Linked DNA regions of Mus musculus. The protein of the gene in region 1 interacts with the protein of each later gene in a pairwise test. Links are inferred from orthologs where the notes say so. Each region holds a gene or a part of one and is shown on either strand. Other genes may lie near its edges.

Region 1 (3,810 bases):
ACATACCAGTTGGGAGCAATTCTTTTAGTCCAGCTTCTTCTTTTTGTTAAGTGGAAGGCAGGGACAGAGACAGTGAAGCGGTGTGACGCAAGGTAATGTCGTCCGACTTGAAAGTGCCACGGTGTGAAAGGGACCACATTTCTATTTCAGCTCTGACTATAGCCATTCAATTGCTAAGGGAATCCAGGGGCAGTCGGTAGGAGAGAACGCCTATCACGTCAGACCCCTGGGACAGCCTCTGCTGTTCTGTTCTGTCCAGGTGGCTGTCTTGACCCCGCCCCCCCCCCCCCATGCAGTTTAATATAGATTTATTTACTTGAACCAAGGGCTCACTATTGTTTGTTGTGCTGGGAAAAATTGCACTCAGGGTGTGACTAACCTGCACATGCTTGGTAGGCAAGCTCTCAGTTGCGTTCTGAGCTCTCAACCTATCTTGTGTCTGTAGTAAAGATATGCCGAGAGAGCTCTTGGGACCTATCTCTTTGCTTCTCTCCAGAAAAGAAGCGGGCGAAGGCACCTGAACAGCCCACTCCCCCCATTCAGGAAGAGCCTGAGCCTGTCAGCAATGTCTTACAAGGAGATGACATTCTTGCCTTGGCCATTAAAAAGGAAGACTTGAGGAAGGTAAGGCCAAGGGCCAAGGATCGCACAGAGCACCCAGCCGTGTTCACGGGTCACCTCTCCATTGGCTTCCGGATCCCAAGGAGTCGCTAATACCATGCCAAAAACAAAAATACAAAAAACAAACAAACAAACAAACAAAAAACACCAAATATAAATTCTTTCCCTTTAGCATCTGAAAGAATTTATGGCAAGTTAGGTTTTCACATTTCTGAGATTCTACCAGAGCCACAAAATAGTGAGATACCTTGGGGGCAACTGTTATCATGCCCATCCCATAGATGGGCAGATAAGTTCGATCATCATAGATAAAAATGAGCAGGAGGCTGCTGAACTCCAACCCTTCCCCTTACCTGTCAGTTGCTCTTACTTAGTCTGCCTGGACAAGCCAGGTGTCATTTTATCCCCCTCCAGCTTACTCCTAAATCTCAGGTCTGTCACACAGGCATTTCCAGGACAGGATGTATGGATGGATCTGGGAAAGCTGACTAGTCAGCCCTCAGGAATCCTACCAAGAACAGAGGTGTGTGTGTGTGTGTTCTTCCTCTTCTCCCCAGATCGCATTCTCCTCAGCTCTGTTTTGTTTTAGCAACATGTTCCTCAGTTTGAAGAAACAGGAGAAAAGCCTGTGGTCACACAGAAATTTATCATCCGTAAGCTCAAACCGAAAGACTCTAGCAAAAGGGTCTACCACTTGGTAGCACATCCTGCTACTCCAGATGCCGCCACCAAGCCTCTGGACTACTCCGGTATGGGCTCTGTTGTAGACTTTGCATTCCCTGATGGGTCTTGAAAACCCGCCCCCCCCAACCCCCACCCCCCACCCCCGTCCATCAAACAGCTGCTCTGTGTGTGGCTCACAGCGTCTGGTTCTCCATCTCTCTTCCCCCTTCACCCACCCACCCCCAGGTCCTCATGACAGCTTCTTAAGCAGTGGCCAGATCCTCCCTCACCAGATCTTGGGAAGTCTCCAGGACTTTAAAAGAATCGCGGTTGCTCGAGGGAACACCCAGGTTTGTTTGTTGTATAGAGAGCTATGTGGCTGAGAGAAGTTGCCGAAGCCATTTACTCTCTGTAGAGTCAAAGGGTGTGTGTATGTGTGTGTGTGTGTGTGTGTATGTGTGTGTGTGTGTGTGTGTGTGTGTGTGTGTGTGTGTATGTATGTGTGTGTGTGTGTGTGTATGTGTGTAGATGGGGGTACAGGGATAGGATTCTAGAGCTAGGTCTGTCTCTGGGCCTAGATGATAAGGGACCCTTGGGAAGCAGTTGCAAGTCCTAGAAGCCAGTCGCTAATAGACAGCTCTAGGTGGAGTGGGGATTTACTAGAAGGAACTCAGAGCCTGCCTTGTGAAACTCTGGGTAGACTGAGCCCCACAACGAAGTAGCGCTCTGGCCTCAGCTCCTCATTCCCCTTCTTTGGAGCCTGGATTGCTGAGGTGCAGGCTGGAGGGAAATGACCCCCACTGGTCCCCGTGTTACCTTCCTTCCTGCCACATAGCTCTTAGAGCCTTCACTTCAGTTAGGCAGGGTACTAAGGGCCCAGCTACTCAGGAGGAAGTCATCAATTGGGGAGAAGACGGCTACCCTGAAGGATGCTGAGTTTTCTGGGCAGAGGGGACTGTCAGCATCCCTCAGGCCCTGGTTTGTTTTCTGTCACTTGCCCGTCCTATGGTCCTGACGAGGAGAGGTTCTTAGAGCTGGACAGAAACCAGAACCTGGGTCAGCACCTCCTCCTCTCCCTTGTTCTTTCCAGCTGGCTAAGCTGATTCACATCCAGCCCTGCCTGATGACCCTCATCTCAGCCAAAGAAGAGCCAAAGCCAAAGCCCCCCAAGGAGGAGGAGAGACCTTCTCCATGGGCCCCACCTCCTCAGCACAACTTCCTAAAGAACTGGAGACGGCACATTGCCTTGCGGAAGAAGCAACAGGAAGCTCTCAGCAGTGAGCTGAGCCCACTAGGGACCTGCCAGGGTCCCTCCATCAGGCACAGAGGCTCTTCTGTGTCTTCTCTCTCACCCGCCCAGACTCCCACTAACTAGCATTTGCCCCATGACAGCTTCTGGCTTTCAGGCCTCAGTGGGTTCTGAAATGAGGCAGGGAGTGGGCCACCCAATTCAGAGTGCGAGAGCTTGTGTGTTCTGTTTTTGGTACCATGATCACAGTCTTCCTTCCTTCTCTCCCGCTCTAGAGCACCTGAAGAAGCCAGCCAGTGAGCTGTTGATGCATACCGGGGAGAGCTATAGGAAGATCCAGGAGGAGCGCGAGGTCATTGACCGTGCACTTCCCACCCAGCATGACGGAAAAGTGAGGCCACTGTTCCCAAGTACCACACAGAATGCACATGATGACCAGTGCCAGCTTGTCTCCAGTTACACAGTTGGGGAGAAGATAGCCTGTCTATTACCAAGCAGTATCAACCCCCTGGGATCTTACCTTATCTCATCTTCCAGAACTACTCACTTTTAATAATTCAGCCTGTGGTGGTCTCTGGTAGTCAGTTTATTATAAGAGTCTTCATGTGTGTCTCCTAAAGGTTTATACTACAATCTTTGGTCTAACCAAGGACAAAGAACTGTGCCATGTTTTGGTACATCAATGAGTGCCTGGGCTGGGACCAGATCATCCCATCTTTCTGGCATCTTGAGAACAAAACATTGTTGAGTGCCCACTCTTCTTCCAGTGGGACCCAGTGGATGCCCCAGTGAGTCTCTGACTGTGGTACTGAGGGGGTGACCTCACTGCTCTGTCCTCATCTTGACTTTAAGGCAACCAGTTGGTTCTGGAGTCCACTGGAATACCTGGGTGATGAGATGACAGGTCTTCTCATGACCAAAAAGAAAACTCAGCGTGGTCTGGTGGAACCCATCACACACATCAGGAAGCCCCTCTCCATCCAAGTGGAGACTGGTGAGAAGCAAGGCCTGTAGGCTTATGTTTTTCAAAACCTACTTTAGTAAGTGTACCTAAATGCTTTAACCTCCCTTCCAGCCCACCACCCATCAGAGGTAGTGGAAAGGAAAGATTAATAGGGCAAAGGAGGATGTGGACCTGTTCAGAAATAGTTCTTTGATGTGAATACGATCGGCCTTCTCAGGATATCAGCAGTTCAGTTAGCACAAATCAGCAGTGGTCGCTTCATCCACTCACAAACACCATTCACAAATCAGCAATGACAGTTCAATCCAGAGGA
Region 2 (4,610 bases), on another chromosome or scaffold:
AGTGTTAAGTTTTTTGTTCTTTGCTATGGGATGATTGTGCTTTTTATCTGAAGAGAATGCAACCAAATCATATTCATTCCCTTTTGCTTTAGAAGCTAAATTTACTGTGACTAGTTACATAGAGGGGCAGGGGGCGGGGCGGTGGAAATCAGAGGACACGTTTCAGGAACCTATACCCTCCTACCATGTGAGTTTTGGGAATCAAACTCAGGTCCAGCCAGGCGTGGAGGCAGAGGCAGGCGGATTTCTGAGTTCGAGGCCAGCCTGGTCTACAAAGTGAGTTCCAGGACAGCCAGGGCTATCCAGAGAAACCCTGTCTCAAAAAACAAAAAAACAAAAAACAAACAAACTCAGGTCCATTTGGCTTGGCAGCAAGCACCTTCACCTGCTGAGCCTTCTTGCTGGCTCTTAGCAACTAGGTATTTAAAGCCAGGTATTTTAAAGTTTGCTACCCTGCTCAAAATAACTAAAATGCTATTTTATGCATTCACCTTCTTCATGGATGTTTTTGTCTTGAAGGTTGTTATTGTTCTGTTGTTGATGATTGGTTGGTTAAGTTTGGTTTGGTTTTTTTTTTTTTTTTTTTTTAAAGATGTAGTTTTACTCTTTAGCCAAGGCTGGTCTCAGATTCAATCAGTCCTCCTACTTCAGCTTGTCAAGTGCAATTAGAAATGAAACAAGATGTCTAGGTCTTCTGCATATGCCTCAAACCTTTGAGGCAAGGTCTCCCTCAGCCTCCAGCTTCCATCCTTTTACCTAGGCTAGCAGAATTATACACACCAAGACCCTGTCTGGCTTATTATGAGTGCTGGTACCTGAACTCTAGCCCTATAGTTGTGTATCAAGTAATCTTACCTCTAAGCCATCTCTCTAGCCTAGCTATAGTTTACTTTTTTTGGAACAGATCTTGATACATGCTCCAGGCAAGCAGTGAATGCAGATCTGTTTTCCCTCACCAGAGCACTAAAAACATGTCACCATGCCTGGCTTCTTACAATGTTTTCATGTTAGAAACAACTTTAAATCCTCTCTGAAATGTTGCTGAAAGAAAAATGTAAACTTGTATGAAACATCTCTGTTTGATCCTGTAAAATTTGGTTCCCATTCTCTTACACAGCCTGAAGGCTGCACATTGGCTCTGCATTCAGTTATCTACAATTGTACTCCATCTGCCTTTCAGTGTTCTTGCCTGTCAACCTCCTGCATCCATTTCATTCCACGACCCTACCACACAGATTATTTGGGACCAAAAGTGTATCAGTGTTTATCTCCAGAGGTTGAACTATCTACTCATACATAATGAGTGTTTTGGAGATGAGATCCAAGCCTAAACATGAAATTAATTTACATTCCATATAGACCTTATTCACATAATATAAACATGATCTTGAACAAGTACATATTCCTAGGCTCCTGAATTTTGACTGACATAATTTATGCAGTCAAGTATGGAACTTTCCACATCAATACTCAGTAAGTTACAAATCTGAGAGCAATTTAGATTTCAAAATTTCAGATTAAGGATACTTATCCGTACTGTTCAAGGTCTTCCCTCTGCCACTCCATGTAAAATGTCCCATCTTTATCCTTGCTATGGTTTAAGTTAGACATTTACCACTAGCTGGCACTAGTTTTAGTGTGTGTGTGTCCCTATCTAAGCTACAAGCTCCCAAAAGCAAGAACATTTCCATGGCTGTATCCCCTTGGTGCCCAGAACACACGGCTGGAGTAAAATCATTACATGAAAGAAACATGAGGGGTTTTTTTTAACAGAATTCCAAGCCATCTGTGACACTTCTGATGCCACAAACTACAGTGGTCTCACAGAGTAGTTCCTTATACTTTTGCTCACATTGACTTCCGATGACATAAGGAAATGAGTAGTAATTCTAACTTGTCAGTTCATCCATGTAAGAGAATTAAAAGCCCTGCTTTCTTCTAAGTTCTCCCAAATTTTCCCCTAGCTTTTGTTCCCTAAAAAGCAGATACAAATTATTTCCCAGACACTTCCTATTCTCAAAAGGACCAAGTTTTCAATCCCTGCCAGCCATTCCATTCTATTCCCTTGAAAACACCAAGCAATGTTGAGTTCTTACCATGTAGAAGGCATTCAATATACTGTTAAGGCCAGTTAGCTTTATTCTATGATTCCAACCACCATACTCTCTAGCCTTACACCCAGAAAGGAAGGGATACACTTTACGCTTCCATTGTTTTAAAGTAAAGAATATAGCTGTTTTTATGTGCTCTGAAGCACTTTTCAAATTGTAATTCCACTTTAATTATGATATCTACACAAAGTAGGAATTACTATAGGCTAAAAGAGTTGAAAAGCCACAGCCCAAACTGTCTATGAATCTCCAGCTTCGGGGACTAGAGCCATTTAATAACCCACTTTCAAATCCAGTCATTTTCTTAGTTGCCTTTGTCCAAAAGAAAAATTTGTAAAATCCCGCACACTATACGGCAGGGAGCAACTGGGATCTCAAGGTCTTGCTAACGTGTCCACTGCGGCTGCTCGCGGGAAAGCAACGGAAGTTGGAGAGACTTTGCAACAGCTGCAAGAGTTTCAGTCCGGGGCAGAGAGCGACCACCGGGGCGAGGCGAAGTCCCGCGGCCGGCGTGCGCCCGACCCACGGGACCCCAAGGCCTCGCTGCTCCCGGGGCGGGCCCCACCTGGCCAAGAGCGCGCGGACGTGGGCTGCAGCCGCCCGCCTCGGCTCACCTTTCGTCAGCGTGTCCAGCACCCCCGACTTCTCCAAGTACCTCCGGAACTGCTCGCGCTTCGAGTCGGCGGCCTGAGGAGACACGGCGGGTCAGGGACCGGAGCCCGGGGCCGGAGCAGGAAGACGGCGCGCCCCGCCGCCGGCCCCAAGCCCTGCACACGCCCCAACTCCCACCCGGCGCCGCCCGCACGCCCCGAGCCACGCCGCGCCCCCCTCACTTTGTAATGGGCCATAGTGACAGCCACAGCGGCGTAGCTGGCGCCGGAGACACGGGCAGGCGGGCTCCAAGCCTCACTGCTCATGCGCGGAACGGCGCGCGCGTCTGCGCACTGGGCAGGCACGGGCCGGGGCCACCGGGGTGTGGCCTGTTTTCATGGCGACCGGGACGCTGTGTATCCCTGTCTCCTCGGAGCCTAGAGAGGCTGCGTGAGCCCGCCCTCCGCGGTTCCGGGCAGTCTCGCGTCTTCCTGTTCCGGTTGCCGCGGCGATTCGGTTGCCTAGCAAGAGGCGAGGTTTAGGTAAAGCCAGGCGAACGACCTGTGGGGCCCTGGATGGGTGTGGCCAGGAGTTAGAGGCTCCTGATGTAGTATCTCCCCACGTGTTAGTGGGCGCGCACTCCTTGTCATTTGGGTCTTTGGTGAGGAACAGACCAATGCCGTGTTTCTTGGCTCAGAAAAATACCCAGCACCAGGAAAAAGTTCAAGGTCACCCTCAGCTAAATAAAGAATCTCTTTTGGGCTTGTTCAGGGCTTGCTTGTAATCATTAAGCCCCGTGATATTTGCAGATAACTGCTGGCTGGTAGAAAACTTATCTCTACAGCAATGTTGGATTAGGGCAATGACCTCTGAAGTGGTTCTTTTCTCTGCCTTTGTCATTAGTTTCCTTTTTTTTTTTTTTATACCCCCTTAGTGGTTAACATTAAGTTCTTTTCCATATATATTATGCGTGTTTTTATGTTGAAAATAATTATAGGTAGTACTAAGTGTGTATGTCTCTCTAAGGAGATTTCTAAGTGCAGAAGAGGGCCCTTTAATGAATTTGTAGTTGTGCCTGCTACTTGGCTAGATTTTGTTTTGATCTCTCTATATAGAAGTCATTCTATTCACTAGGCGCTGGTGGCACACGAATTTAATCTCAGTGCAAGAAAAGTGGAGACCATCCTGAGTTCGAAGCCATTCTGGTCCAAGATGGTCAGGGCTACACAGAAACCCTGTCTCCAAAACAAAGAATTCATTGTAGTCTTGTTTTAATGTAAGGCCCTACCCCCACCTTATCTTTTTGAAATCCAGTGGATTTTTTTTTTTCCAGGAGTTGGGGAAGAGTATTCATGCCGTGGTGCAGTTGGAGATCGGAAGACTCATAGGACTTGCTCTCCTTCCACCGTTAGTCTCAGTAATTGCATTAAGGTTGTCAGGCTTGACAACGAGTGCCTTTACCACCAAGTCATCTTACTGCTCCCTAGCTGCAAAGTTTCTAGACTATCTAAGAAAAGCAAAACGATGGCTCTATGTTGCACAAATAATGAAAATACTGTCTTTTCTGTTGGTCTTGAGAAAAAAACATATTTGGTTATGAGAAGCCACAGAACTTAAACTCATGTTGAAAGAACTTATGAACCCAGCTTCAACCACAAACTGAATGAAAAAGTGCAAAGCAGAGTCCCCTGGTGGGTGGTGCTTGCCTTGCCTCCCTTTGTTCCTGTTGGCAATGCCCTTCCTCCCTCCCATCTCTGCTCTAAGGCATTCGAGACTCATCCAGTTTTTTTAGTTGAGCTTTTTGGGAATTTTACATGGAGTGGGGATGGGGAGGCGTTGTGTTATTGTTTTGAGGCAGGGTCTCACCATGTGTGAACTCCCAACTCCACCCCAGGAACCTGGATTTTT

Evidence for each region.
Region 2: the proteins of Mycbpap (region 1) and Mycbp interact in binary tests that used the Homo sapiens proteins (3 or more experiments, as listed by UniProt). The link is inferred for Mus musculus from reciprocal best matches to the Homo sapiens genes MYCBPAP and MYCBP.

The regions. Positions count from the first base shown.
Region 1 is NC_000077.6:94,511,342-94,515,151, reverse strand, and holds part of Mycbpap (MYCBP-associated protein), read left to right. Parts: intron 1-496; coding exon 497-624; intron 625-1,210; coding exon 1,211-1,370; intron 1,371-1,530; coding exon 1,531-1,634; intron 1,635-2,374; coding exon 2,375-2,561; exon of another isoform or gene 2,562-2,808; coding exon 2,809-2,924; intron 2,925-3,385; coding exon 3,386-3,527; intron 3,528-3,810. UniProt on the Homo sapiens protein: May play a role in spermatogenesis. May be involved in synaptic processes.
Region 2 is NC_000070.6:123,903,422-123,908,031, reverse strand, and holds the start of Mycbp (C-Myc-binding protein), read right to left. Parts: upstream 3,020-4,610; 5' UTR 2,960-3,019; coding exon 2,945-2,959; exon of another isoform or gene 2,799-2,944; coding exon 2,726-2,798; exon of another isoform or gene 2,471-2,725; intron 1-2,470. UniProt on the Homo sapiens protein: May control the transcriptional activity of MYC. Stimulates the activation of E box-dependent transcription by MYC.